Diceros bicornis minor: one gene and its partner. The protein of the gene in region 1 interacts with the protein of each later gene in a pairwise test. Links are inferred from orthologs where the notes say so. Each region holds a gene or a part of one and is shown on either strand. Other genes may lie near its edges.

Region 1 (7,685 bases):
AGGGACTGCGGGTCTGGGTCAGGGGTGGGCACAGGACAGGGCTCAGGGTGCTGAGACCTGGTCTCACAGACAGCCACTGATGACCTACCGCCCATAAATTAGAACATGCTGGGAAGAGCTAGGGAGCTAAGTGTGCGAACTGGCACCCTCTCAGCAGGACTGAGTCAAGTGCTTGAGTGGGGCAGTTGGCACCAGGGCTGAACTAGGTGGGATCCAACACCTATAGAGAGAAAAAGGCACAAGGGACTGGGACAGGGGACCAGGGTCCCTGCCCTAGTGTCTTCTCAGTCAGCATACACCGAACACTCATTTCCAGTTATTAAAAAATATCCTACCTAGCCATCCTCTCAAAAACCCATAACCCCAGTCTATGAGACAAAACCAAATTGGGGGACATTCCACAGAATACCCAACCACCACTCTTCAAAGCCGTCAAGGTCATGAAAGACAAGGGAAATCTGAGAACCTGCCGCAGCCCAGAGAACGCTAAGAAGACAGATGACTAAATGTAATATGGCATCGTGGACAGACGCCGGAATAAAAAGAGGGCATTAGGGCGCAACTAGTGAAACCAGAACAGAGTGTGGAGTTTAGTTAATAGAAATGTATGATGTTTGTTCCTTAGTTGTGACAAATGAACCAAGTAATCTAAGGTGTCAACAACGGGGGAACTGCGTGAGGGGTATATGGCAACTCCACTATCTTTGCAACTTTTCTGTAAATCTAAAATTACTCCAAAATAAAAAGTTGATTTAAAGAAAAATACTTTACCTAGTCCACGTGTATAACCTAGGTCTTTCCAGAAGGAGAAGACTCTGGGTGATGACTGGGCCTCCTCACTGCCAGCAGTCTGTCCAAGAGCCTACCCTACTCTCACCTGCTGTTACTCAACATCTATACTGAGAAGCAGAAAGTCGGCCCCTAAGTCTCACTTAAAAGGTGGAAGACTTTTTAAAGAACTTACTGCTTAGCAAAGGAGATAAAACACACACCTCACTAATAATAATAATAATAATACCCCCTTAGGTAGCACCTACTGTGTGCCAGGCACTAGTCTAAACGCTTGACCTCGGTTAACTTATTTAATCCTCGTTAACAGTACTAAGAAATAGGTACAATATAATAATGGCCACGTACATTGGTACGTTTCTATTAACCAAACTCCACACTCCATTCTGGTATTATTAATGGAAACTGAGGCACAGGGAAATAAAGGACATTGCCAGTGAGCTACTAAGTGCGGTGCAGTCAGGGATGGAACGCAATAACCTGGTTCCAGAGTGTGCTCTTAACTGCTCCTCTATACCGACTAGGTATAACGCAGCCCCTATAGCGCCAGTGCTCAAATACCAGCAGAGTGGACAATAAGTGTCTAAGGGAAAGTGGTCAGATCCCAAGAAGGACTTGCTGCATGCAACAAAAGCCTGCGTATGTTCATTCCCAGATAACTCTCAAGATCGGGGTTCCCCCACCTTCTCTGGATCTTGATTCAGTTTCATAACCAACACAAAAGTGATGAAGGCTGAACTCCAGGTGTCACATCCTGATGTGGACAGAGGCAGGGTGGGAAAGGGAGGGGTTTCTGCAGCAGAGGAAAGACCCGCATCCACTTGGGCTGGTGGAGGGCCCAGCCACAGGGAGGGGATGGCGAGGAAGCTCTCCTCTTTTAGCAAATGCAAGTGTAGGTCTCCCCATTTTTGGCAGGGCTGGAACACGGATCCAGTGGGGCGCAGCAGAGGCGGGGGACTCTTTGAAAGGAAGTCAGGGTGAGGGGCAGGGGCAGAAGAATGAACCAAGTGTCTCGAAAGAAGTGCTGAGGATAAGCGCTGAGGGGAGGTGGGCACGGGATGGAGAAAACAGCGAGGGCGACGATGCCTGAATTCCCTGCACCGAGAGGGGGCTGACCGCCCATCATCTGGCGTGGAGGAGGGTGGGGACGGCTGGACACTGAGGAGTAAAGGCGACACTGCTAAAGAATGACCTATTAGCAGGTGTCGGATGGTCAGGAGTCTGGGGCTCTTGGCAGGAGGAGAGCAAGGCGTCAGACCGAGCCCCAGAATTCGTATTAATAATAAAACACACCGAACAGGCCTGCAGGGAGCCGGGCCCTGGGTCCCACGGCTCTCCGCTTATTTCATTCGCACAAACAACCCCACCTCATTTTGCGAACGGTTCCCCATCTATGAGGCCAGAGAACTTAAGTTATATGCCCAAGGCCACCCTGGCCGGTCTATGACTCACGCCAGCCTCGAACCACAAAAAGGGTTGGGGGACGGCAGTTGGGGGATAAGGAGACGAGCATGCGGCTGGCCGGAAATTCGTGAACCGGGGCAGGGAAACAAGAAATGAACCGACGCGGGTCTCGGGGAAGAGGAGGGGCCGAATTCCCGGAATCGCAGGGAGGAGGGGGCTGGACCCCCACGTCGGGGGGAAGGGAAGGCCGGAACTCCCGGGGTCGGGAGGAAGAGGGGGCTGGATCCCCGGATCAGAGGAAGCAGAAGGGCCGGATCCCGGGGTCGGAAGGAAGAGAGGGCCGGATCCCGGGATCCCGAGGGGAGGCCAGGCCCGCCCCCCGGTTGGGGCCGCGCGGGGGCGGGGCGCGGAGGGATCCGAGCGGGCCGTGCTGCGCCGCCCCCGGTATATCTGTTCCCAGTCCCCGGCGCCGCCTCAGTCCCCGTCCTCAGATCACGATCTCTCCTCACGCTACCCCGACGCCGCCTCCGCCCGCGTAGCCCCGGCCATGGCTCTGTAGCCGCCACCCCTCCGTGCCTCACGGCCCATCTCCGCGCTCACCGCGCTTGCGCTCTCCGCTCCCGCCTTCTTTCTTCAGCCGAGGCCGCCGTCGCCTCTCCTTTCTGCAGCCATGGAGTGAGTAACGCTCGCCCCTCCCTCTCCAACCGCCTTTCCCGCCCTTTGGAAGCTCGCGGCCCTCACAACGCGACCTGGGGGATGGCGAGACGAGAGCGAGGAATCACGGTCGCGCAGGCGCAGAAGAGGGAAAACGGGCCGTCGACGCGAGGCGGAGCATGCGCACTCGGCTCGAGGGGGGGAGGGTGCGTTCTTCCAGCGAGTGTTGGAGTTTAAAGACGGCCCGCGTGAGGTTGCGCCTGCGCACTACCCCCCAGGACGATTCCGCCCTCTCGCGGTTGCTCATGCGCAGCAGCCCACCAGAGTCCGTATTTGCGTCCGAAGGGCGGGCAGTAAGCAGCCGCACATGCGCAGTGACCCCCAGGAGGACGAAGCATGTGCTTTGGCCCTGGGTTAGAGAGCCGGGAGTGGAAGGGTGGTGGCGAGGAGAGCTGTTCCTCCCCGGCCTCCCGGCTCCCACGACCTGCGTCCCGGCTTCACATTGCTCAGGCGCACTGCATAGCTTCTCTTTCATCGGGCACCTGTTGGGGCGAGGGCTGGTGTAGATTGACAGGGTAGAAGGCGGGACTTAGAGGCAACCTGTTAAAAAGGGGGTGGAGCTAGGATCACAGCCATCGGGAGGAGTGGGGCTTGAGGGAACCCATTGTGAGAGGGGCGGGGCTCAGCGAACCGTTTGCTGAGGGGCGGGGTTTCGATCCGAGAAAGAGGTGGGGCCTCGGGGGAATCATCGGGGAGGGGTGGGGCTAAGATAAACAGTGAGGGGCGGGACTTAGAGGGTCGGGGGAGGTCACCGCAAAGTTAAAAGGGCAGAGTGGGATTTGAGTGGATCACATGGATGAAGGGGCGGGGCAGGGGGAAATTCCCCTGGGAGCTGATTTGAGATGGACTCGAGGGAGGCGATGGGGCCTAAAGGAAATATTTTAGAGGGGGTGGTGCGGCTGGAAGAAAATTCCCCTGGGATTGAGTTTTTTTACGAAGGGGAATATTATGAGGTGGGTGGGAGGAGTTAAGGAAATTCCCCGGGGAGACCTGTAGGTTTCTGTATTGGAAGGATCCGGGCTTGGGGATTCTAAAGAAAAGTAAGTCGATCCTAAAGCGAATTCCCTTGGGAGTGGGTGGGCCTCAGAGATTTGGGGAAAGAAAGAGCAGATTTAGAATTCTGAGAGCTAGGCTCGTCCCAAGCCCAGTTGGAAGCAGGAGTGGGGGAGGGGGGAGGACCCCAGGGAGGTGGGGGTGTGGCTTGGTTTCCCTGTGACTTCCGTAGTGGGTGAGGCTGGCTTCTGACCCCAGTCGCTTTTGCCTCCCACATGTAGGTCCTCCACTTCCGCCTTGGTGCCTGTCTTCGCCCAGCTGAGCAACCTCCAGAGCCCCCTGTCAGCTGCCGGTGCAGCCTCCTTCGTTGCCATCCGCGCCCAGCGCCTGTGCTGCAGCCATGTCACTCCTGGCGACCCTGGGGCTGGAGCTGGACAGGGCCCTGCTCCCAGCTAGCGGGCTGGGCTGGCTCGTAGACTATGGGAAACTCCCCCTGGCCCCTGCCCCCCTGGGCCCCTATGAGGTCCTTGGGGGAGCCCTGGAGGGCGGGCTTCCAGGGGGGGGAGAGCCCCTGGCAGGTAAGGGCAGGCAAAGAATGGAGGTGGGGTGAATTGGGGTATGGGGGGCAGGGGGAAGGAGGAAGAATTCCTTCATTCATTTATTCATTCAATCCATCAATATTTATTGAGCACCTATAACATGTCAGGTGCTGGGGATACAGATGGGAACAAGACTGACACGATCACTGTCCTCCTGGAGTTCACACTCTAGTGAGGAGACAGACGAGACATATTCAATGATAATGTGGCATAAGTGGGAAACAGTCATTTAGCTGAAAAATGACAACGGGGACCTAGTTTATAGTGTGTAGCCAGGAAACCCTCTCCAAGTAGGTAGCGTTTTGGCTGAGGCCTAAAGCATGGGAGGGAATGAGCCATGAAAAGATCCAAGGGAATAGCTTTTCAGGAGGAGGGAACAGCATATGCAGAGGCCCTGAGGAAGGAATTATTTTATTCATTAATGTGTCCGACATGCTTGGTACATAGTGGGTTTTCAATACTTAATGAGTTAAAGAGGAAACGGGGTGTGTTGTGTATGTGCAATCTAGTTTGCCTTTTAAGAATAAACTAGAGAGTAAATCAGACAAACCACAGGTGTAGAGTAATCAGTAAAGAGGATGTTGGAATGGTTGAAGTAATGGCTAATTGTTTTGTTGTTTGGGTCATTGGGTGGTTGACTGGTTCACTGATTGATTGGTTAAAAGGTTGATTGGTTGGTTGACTGATTCATTTAGTTGGTTGGTTGGTTGGTTGATTGGTTGACTCGGTTAATTGGTTAGTTAGATGTTTGACTGGTTTATTGGTTGGTTGGTTGGCTGGTTTGATGATTCATTGATTGGTTGGTTGACTGATTGGCTAGTTGGTGGGTTTACTCAGTGAATGGAATGAATGAGGCTGACATGAGTGAGCACCCGGTTGGGTGGAGGACCAGGAACTCAAGGACCTTTATGTCCCCCTGCACTCCTCCAGGTGACGGCTTCTCTGACTGGATGACTGAGCGGGTTGACTTTACAGCCCTTCTCCCTCTGGAGCCCCCCTTGCCCCCAGGTGCCCTCCCCCCACCTTCCCCACCCCCACCTGACCTGGAAGCCATGGCCTCCCTCCTCAAGAAGGAGCTGGAGCAGATGGAAGACTTCTTCCTTGATGCCCCACTCCTCCCGCCATCCTCCCCACCACCACCACCAGCACCAGCGCCCTCCCTCCCCCTCCCCCTCCCCACCTTTGACTTCCCCCAGCCCCCTGCCCTGGATACGCTTGACTTGCTGGCCATCTGCTGCCGCAGTGAGGCCGGGCATGGGGACTCGGGTTTGGCCCACTTGCCTCCCCCACAGCAGCCCCCTCCTCCTCCACCTCAGCCCTCTCGCCCGGCCCCCTACCCCAATCCTGCCACCACCCGAGGGGACCGCAAGCAAAAGAAGAGAGACCAGAACAAGTCGGCAGCTCTGAGGTACCGCCAGAGGAAGCGGGCAGAGGGCGAGGCCCTGGAGGGCGAGTGCCAGGGGCTGGAGGCTCGGAACCGGGAGCTGAGGGAGAGGGCGGAGTCAGTGGAGCGGGAGATCCAGTACGTCAAGGATCTGCTCATCGAAGTGTACAAGGCTCGAAGCCAGAGGACCCGCAGCAGCTAGCCGGGCAGGGGCTTTGGGCAGTAGGGGGCGCTGGTCTTTAGCTTGGGTCACTTCTGTTTCTGGAGCTGAGGTGGGAGAGTCCCTCGGCATCCCCCTGCCTCCACCTTCATTCCAGATCTCTCTCTCTCTCCCTCTCTCTCTGCTTTTATTCTCCTCTCTGCTCATCCATTTCTGAGTTTGCTCCCCTCCTCCCTCCCCAGAATCATGGATGTTTGGCATTAGTCAACATCTGTACTCCTCAAGTAACAGCCGAGGGGCTGAGGCCCACAGGGAATTCGGGGAGCAGGGCAGAGCTTGGGAACCTGGTCTCTCAAACAGGGACGTGTGGCCAGGAAGCTATGCAGAATGAGGCCAGGAGAGCCATCTGGGGACGCAAGTCAGGGAGGGTTTGAAGAATGGCACCCATGTAATCAAAATGCCAAGCCAGGTGACCTTCGGGAGCTCCATTGGGGCAGGGAGCCAAAAGGTAGCCAAGTTCACAGAGCAGGTGGATGTGCAGGCAGATGGGGAGGCGGGCAGGGCGGGGGATGGCCATAGTGGGCACCGGGTGTTCATTTTAGCTCTGGGAGGAAATCAGTGTTTTGTGCAGGTGTTGGGAGAGGGGCTGCCTCTAGGTGAGCGAGGGCGGGGACTGATCCTTTGGGGGGTTGTGAGCGGAAATAAAATGAAGAATTTTCTCTGGCCTGTGAGTCTTGTCTGTGAGGGGAGAAGTTGGGGAGAGGGCAATCTTAGGCCAAAGACAATAATGATGATAGGAGACACAACAGATAATACTTCTAGGGCCGCCCCGTGGCTTAGCGGTTAAGTGCGCGTGCTCCGCTGCTGGCGGCCCGGGTTTGGATCCCGGGCGCGCACCGACGCACCGCTTCTCCGGCCATGCTGAGGCCGCGTCCCACATACAGCAACTAGAAGGATGTGCAGCTATGATATACAACTATCTACTGGGGCTTTGGGGGGAAAATAAATAAAATCTTAAAAAACAAAAATACTTCTAGTTAAGGGGGCCGGCCCCGTGGCGTAGCCACTTTTAGATTCAGACGGTTAATTACTTACATAGACAGCGAGATAAAAGATAGGCAGAGGTGCCAGCTCCCTTGTCACACACACCAAAAAAGGATGACACCGAAACAGAAGGGGCTGGGCTACCACAAGAGATGTGGGAGGAGCCAGCTGTCTGATGAGGGCCTCCCAGGGGAAGTCAGGAAGTGAGGGGAGATGGCCTGGTAGCCATGGTGGAGACGTTCACTACATCTGCTTGTTGAGGGTGTAGGGGAGGAAGAACTGTTCTTTTGCCCTCTAGGTCCTGGCTGGTCTGAGAATTCAGTTGACATGAGACAGAATAACAGGGTAAAATCAAAGTTTAGTAACATGTATACATGGTTGAAACCCAGGAAGACTGAGTGACTCGCCAAAATGGTGGAAGCCACCACCTTAAATACCATCTTCAGCTAAAGACAAAGGAGGATGTTGGGGGTGGTGTTTTGGGACTTCAAAGGGGAGGCAGGCAATTCACGTGGAGATGGAAAAGCAAATGTTTGGTAAACGAATCTTGACCATGCCTTGTAGAGATAATGAGAGGTGGAGAAGATTTTGATTAAAA
Region 2 (6,905 bases), on another chromosome or scaffold:
GGAAAAAGAAAACTCCAAGGGGAGAATCTGGGAAAAAACATGTACAATACGTTTTAAAGACACACTGGATCTAAAGACATTTCTATTATTTGAATCAATAACACATTTAGTATAATTTGATTGCTCAAAATATTATATTTCTATAATTAATGATTAGAATGGGGATATTATTTCATTTTTCATTTTTGTCATATTACAAGTTTCAAGGAAAATTAAAGTTATATGAACTTCAGGAATATTAAGCCAAGCTTTTCCAACTGCAGTTGGTAAGAGCTTTCTCTCCTTGCCTAACACTCAAGCTAGAAGAATAAATTATTTTCCACAAGTAAAAAAAAAAAATGCATAAAAGATTGCCTGGTTTCCAAAACATCTGTTGCTTCTAAAAGGTCTTAATATTCACTCAGATAGTATAAATGCTAAATTACCTCAATAGAAGTTCAGCAAAACAAGGCTGAAGGAAACCAGAAACAACCATAAATAGCAACTTTTAAAAGACGAGAGTAACTTATTTTGGTTTTTCCATCTAACATCATTGTTTAATTGAAGTTTTACTTTTCATTGTTAACACTGATTTGGAAAAATCTGGTAAAATAAGCGAGACAGCCCTAAGCAACTAAGCTTAGCCCTAGACAACATTAATCTAGAATTGTCCACTGACTTGCGGAGGGCTAACGTTTTGACATAAAACTAAATATTGTGCCAATATGTATTAAAGGTAATGCTATGGACAGAAGATTGATCTGGGAGGTCACAAATCTATGTCATAGTCCCACCTCCAATAAAGGCTAGCTTTGTAATTATGGGTAAGTAATCTAACCTGTCTAAGCCTCAAATCCTCATCTACACGATGATGAGGCTCAAATAAATGATCTCTAAGATTCTTTTCAGGCATAATTCTATCTTCAACATTCCTACCACTTCCATTACATATTCCAAGGATTTCATTGATTCATCAAACATTTATTAAGTCCCTACTGGATGTCCCTGGCACAGAGAGTGTCCCTGCTCTCACTGATTTTATATTTCATTTGTCTCGTTATGATCAGAAAATGAGTAGTTAAAACATAAGCTTAGACTTAATAATGGGATAAATAAGAATCATTTTTAAGCGGCTTCTGTATTTGGCTTAGAATTCATAAAATGATGCATTTATGTATTAGTTTGAAACTCCCCACATTTGATACTTCCCATAAAATAAGAATGTTATTAAAATATCTTGGCTAATGAGAATTTTCAGACCTGCCACTGATATAATACCCCTTAATTAAAACCAATTACCAATATATTTAGGTACCATTTCTAGGCAATAAAAACAAGGCCTACCCACGCAAAAAGGTATGATAAAGTCAGCTTGGGTTGGAGAGGAGACTCTCAGTCCAATCTCTAACACGAATAAAAGGCTGAGTAACAGCAGGGTGTGCTGATCCATCCTCGTCAACTTTTAATCCTTCTGACTGATGAAAAGCATGAGACATCTGTTTATTTTTAAGTGCACACTCGCGGCTGGCTTCCTTATTTTCACCTTTCTTAGTACAACTGTACAGAATTCAGCAAATGCTTAATACACACCATCCAGCTGATGATACTAACCTTCAAGAAAATTAAGTCCTAGAAGGGAAACAAAAAAATCAACGAATGACAGTAACATAAACCAGAATATGGTGTTATAGTAGTCAAAACTTCATGTACTCAATCTAGTGCTCCCTGTTAAATGTAATAATAAAACTGAGAGTTCCTATAATAGGAAAAGAACAGAAAAGAAAGGGAGAAAAAGGGGAGATAACAATTACTCGGCACTGAACAGGTGCCAGGCCCTGTGCAGGTAGTTTTCATGACCTCGTCTCCAGACCTCTAAACAAGAAAATATCCCAAACACACGATCATCTACAATAAGAGAAATCCAGCCCCCTTCACAAAATGATTCCAACAGCTTAAGAGCGTATTCCAACGCAAACGCCGTTTATGGAATAATCATTCTGCTTAGAATTTTACTATTTGGAACTAGGAGGAGTCTCGGATCACCCGGGCAACCCAGTCATCTCATGGACGATGAAACTCAGGCCACACAAGGCGCTTGGCTAAGGTCATCTCCGTTTCGTGGCAGAGTTGGGATCAAACAACAATCACGGCATCCACACACCACTCTGCTGGCAACTGTTTAGTGATTCATTTCAGTTCCTCACTAAGTTAGTGGACACCAGTCTCAGCACCTGGATGAAAATCATCATAAAAACCCGTTTACAGCAACGGCTCAGAACCTCCGAGGAGAAATGTACCATTGTCTGTGTAATATCTTAAGACCCACCGATCAGCCGTCACCTGTGTGTGACCGTGTGCCCACTCCCCCGAAGCCCTCCCCACAAGGACCCCAGGTGTAAGGCGGCGCGTGGCCGTCTCCGCGACAGACGCGGGTCGCCGGGGTCAAGATTTCCTCAGATAACGCCCCGCGCTGGAGAGCCGGCCCGGGGCTGCCCGTGCCCCCGGCGACCCGGAGCCCGCGAGCTGGGCGGGAGGACGGGGGATGAGTGTGCAGGAACGCGGCGCCCGCGCCCCCGGCTAGCGGGCCGCCCTCGCGCCGCCGGGCCGGTGCCGAAGGGCGCCCGGGCCGGACCGTTACGGGGCCTCCCGGCCGCGGGCCCCGCGCGGCCGCCCCTCCCCCACCGCGGCCTGAGCCAGCGCGCCGGCCGCCCCCCCGGCTCCCGCGCCCACCACCCCGGGGCCCCCGCCGGGGCCGCGCCGCGGGCCTCGCAGCCGGCGTCGAGCCGCAGGCCGCGGGAGACAAGCCCGCGGGAGAGCGGGAGGGAGGCGGCGGGTACTCAGGAGGGTTCGGAGGCCGCCGCGCCCTCCCGCGTACCTGGCTCCAGGTGATGAACTCGTTGGTGTGGGTTTCCTCCACCAGCGTCCACAGCTTGCTGAGGAAAGCCGGCACGTTCGAACTCTGCTTCATTGTTAACGAGGCGCGGGGACTCCAAATTCTACGCCCGAACGCGGCGGCGGCGGCGGCGGCGGCGGCAGCTGCTCCCCGAGAACGCCCACAACGCAGGCGCAGCAGCTCCAGGGCCCCGCCCCCCAGCCCCGCCAGGCGGGGAGGCCGGGCGGCCGCACGTGACGGACAAGTCGCCGCGCTCGGCCCGTGCGCACTGGTCGCGCGCCTGTCCCGATCCCGGCCAATCCCAGGCGCCGACCGCGCGACAGAGAAAACGGATTGGATGGTGCAGACTGGAGGGGGTGGGAGCAGAGGGGTGTGCTGCCTTCTGATTCGCCTTTTATCCAGGCCCTGACTGTAGCGGACCTTGGGCTTAGGGGACCGTGTTTGGTTGTTTCACGTGGAAGCAGCTTTGGGTTCCCGGGCTGTGGCGGAGAGGCTACAGAAAGTCCTCAGGGGCCTTTGAGTCATAAGTTTGGCAGGAAAGTGTGGCTTGCGCCGTCAGGAGGAAGGAGTATAATAATTCACATGGGGGGAAAAAAGCAGCTTTCAAGCATGATGTGCTAGGCCCCAAATTGAAACTGCCTTAAGAATAATGAACCTTGTCCTTAAATTTTCATTAGGAGAAAATGGTCCCTTTAAAATACGTTTAGCAAAAAAGAGAAATTTAAATAATAGCTCACTCTTTACAAAAGCACATACTACTGTGAACCATAAAGTGTAATAGGCACCGTACATGCTGTTTTTAATTCAACTACCATTGAATGCCGTCTATATGTCCAGTATAAAAAGAAATAGCCTCACTTATGCTGTTTTAATCAATTAAAATAATTGTTCCTGCATGTACTTTGCAGGTATATTCTTGTGTGCCAGAGATAGTTTGGTATAGTGGAAAAAAAAAATTCAACAAGGAGTCAGCGTATCTGAGTTTAGACCAAGCTTTGAGGACGCTTTAGTGGATATTAAATTACACTGGTACTGTGTAACTTAGAACAATCCCTTGATCTGTTGGTGCCAGCCTTCCCCGTATCCTCATTGGGAATAAGAATATCTCTCTATTCCCCCATGTAAGATAATATTAATAACATAAGAGGTGTGAAAATGCTTTAAAAATATAAACAATTGTACAAAATTAAAATTTTTTTGCAAAAGTCAGCATGTGAATATAAGAATTTACTCACAAGTCAGAGATAATTAACGCTTTATGCAAAATTCAACATAGGATTGGTTTACTTCCTGGGCACGTGTAAAATAATACCTTAAAGAATAAAATACAGAGGCTGCCCAGTGGCGTAGGGGTTAAGTGCGTGCACTCAGCTGCCTCAGCCCCGGCAGATCCCTGGGCGCTCATTGAAGCAGCGCTTGTCAAGCCATGCTGTGGAGGCATCCCATATAAAGTAGAGGAAGATGGGCACAGATGTTAGCCCAGGGCCAATCTTCCTTGGCAAAAAGAGGATGATTGGCATCGGATGTTAGCTCAGGGCTGATATTCCTCACAAAAAAATAAATAAAATTCAATTTCCAAAGAGCAAATATTTATTGAATACTGACTTTGTGTTCAGCACTGGTCTTCTGAAACAAAATCAGATGTATGATGGGATACATCTGGTAGAGGAACTAATATTTGATGAGCATTTATATATGCCAAGGGCTTTGCATATATTATCTCATTTAATCTTCACAACACCCCTATGAAGTACATCTTATTACCCCATTTTTCCAATGAAGATTCTGAGACTGAAAAGTGGATTAATTTACCTACATCACAGCTAGTAAATGAGAGAGGGTATTTGCACCCGGGCTTGATTGAGCTTAAAAGCCTGTGCTCTTTCCATTGTATGATGATGGCACCACCTCAATGCTTAAGCTGCTTATATTCTAACTTAAGAAACAAGATGAACACAATGATCAGCAATCATTGATATTAAAAAAGTAAGAGCTAGGGGCCAGCCCGGTGGCTTAACGGTTAAGTTCCTGTGTTCTGCTTCTGCAGCCCGGGGTTCCCTGGTTCAGATCCTGGGCACGGACATACTCACCGCTCATCAAGCTGTGCTTAGGCGGCGTCCCACGTAGAAGAACTAGAAGGACCTACAACTAGGATATACAACTATGCACTGGGGGTTTGGGGAGGGGAAAAAAAAAAGAGGAAGATTGACAACAGATGCTAGCTCAAGGCCACTCTTCCAAAAAACGAAAACAATAACCAAAAAAAGTAAACTAAAAAAAAAAAAAAGAGTTAAATTTATGGCATAAAGCAAGTACTAGAAAAGTTTAAAAGGACAGTTAAGTGAGTTAAGGTAGTAAGGGAAGACTTTATGGAGGATGGGGACCTTAAGTTGGGTCTTGAAGTACAAATGCATTTGGATAGCTAAAAGGAAGACAACAATGAGCAAAGATGGGGAGGCTAATGAGCACGGTCTGTCTCTGGAGATGGACAGCTCAGGAAGTAAGAGGGGGAAATGTGGCCTACTTTCATGGCATTGTATCATTTTCATCTGAAAAAAAAGATGTGATTTGATACAGGCAGAAACTCCTCTTTGGGCCTTCAACCTGTCCAGTGGTAGGCCTGTGCTCAGTTGTGCCCCATACTTGGTTTAATGCTCTGTTGTCACCATCTTGAAATTCTTAATTTTTGAACAAGGGACCCAGCATTTCATTTTGCATCGGGCCCTTCAAATTATGTAGCTGGTCAGCTTCCAATATATTGCACCTTATAGACCAGTGGTTTTCAAACCTAAGCATGCATCCAAATCACTTGGAAGGGAGATACTGCCAATATAACAAATGAACAAGTATCACTTACCAGGTAGTATTTATAATACTCATGAGGCCAGCAAAGGGGCTAAGTTATTAACCAAATAATCTGGTGATGGCACCAGGAAATACATGGTGTGTCTAAAATCACATGGCTGGGGTTGGAATTGAAACCATGTCTTTCATAGTCTGAAACACATGCTTTTTTCTGTTATACCAATGGGCCTCAAACTTTAGCCTACATCCGAATCACCTGGAGGGCTTCTGAAAAAACAGATTGCTGCTTCTCCCCCAACTCCACTCAGTAGATCTGGGGTTCAGGTTAAAAATTTGTTTTTCAAACAAGTTTCCAGGTGGTGCAGATGCTGCTGGCCCTGGGACCACACTTTGAGAACCATTGTTATAGAGGAAAAATTAGTCAATAACATGTACAGAGTTGTAATTACTCACCCTTCACCTCTTAACACAATCCAGATGTTCCAGGAATAATTTAAACTACTGTGTTTTCTTTTTCTGTGAACTTAATCCTTAATATTTATTGTAATTAATAAACTTTTTGAAAACTTTAAGTACCAATTAGAGATGTTTTTGGGGAAGAGAAAATCATTATTGGCTCATTTGCACTTATTTATAAAACTGAGAAGGGAAGAAAACCAAATCAAGCTAATTCACAATTATTTGCCACCTACAATATCCCATAAATATCAGAAGAAACAGATTTGAGCCAGTGTCAACAATTTTGAAATGTTCACAATATTAGAGGATAAAAACGTCAGTTTCTTAAAGTGAATTGCCTTTTGTTGGCTCCAAATAAAAAAAGTTGGAATCGTTCCATGGCTCATTTGCAGCCTGGAGGATAAGATTTAAAAGATTTAGAATAACATTAGAAAATATGAGTGACCTAGGCTTTTGCCTAGGAAATAGAAAACCATATTGTGGGGCACTTTGATGCTTCAAAGCATCTGATTCAGACTGTACAAATTCTATCTAATCAATTATGCAAAACTAGTTTGAATCAACAGTGCAGCCAGAACTAGGTTTTAAAGATTATTTTCAGGGATAGCATGACTGAAGCCGAAGGTGAACTGCGTAGAGGTTTCCATCTACATTCCTATCTGGACAAAGTGTTGATTTTCTTCAATTTTGGAATGAACTAGGGGGCCTTAGGCAAACCACTTGACACCTCCAAGTCCTAGATCCTTATATATAAATGGGAGTGAAAATA

What was found.
Region 2: the proteins of NUP62 (region 1) and HSF2 interact in binary tests that used the Homo sapiens proteins (3 or more experiments, as listed by UniProt). The link is inferred for Diceros bicornis minor from reciprocal best matches to the Homo sapiens genes NUP62 and HSF2.

The regions. Positions count from the first base shown.
Region 1 is NC_080773.1:25,283,304-25,290,988, forward strand, and holds the start of NUP62 (nuclear pore glycoprotein p62), read right to left. Parts: upstream 3,019-7,685; 5' UTR 2,794-3,018; exon of another isoform or gene 2,640-2,793; intron 1-2,639. Other genes in the region: ATF5 (cyclic AMP-dependent transcription factor ATF-5), read left to right, coding at 4,301-4,478, 5,430-6,085. UniProt on the Homo sapiens protein: Essential component of the nuclear pore complex. The N-terminal is probably involved in nucleocytoplasmic transport.
Region 2 is NC_080762.1:14,584,202-14,591,106, forward strand, and holds the start of HSF2 (heat shock factor protein 2), read right to left. Parts: upstream 3,017-6,905; 5' UTR 2,948-3,016; coding exon 2,855-2,947; intron 1-2,854. UniProt on the Homo sapiens protein: DNA-binding protein that specifically binds heat shock promoter elements (HSE) and activates transcription. In higher eukaryotes, HSF is unable to bind to the HSE unless the cells are heat shocked.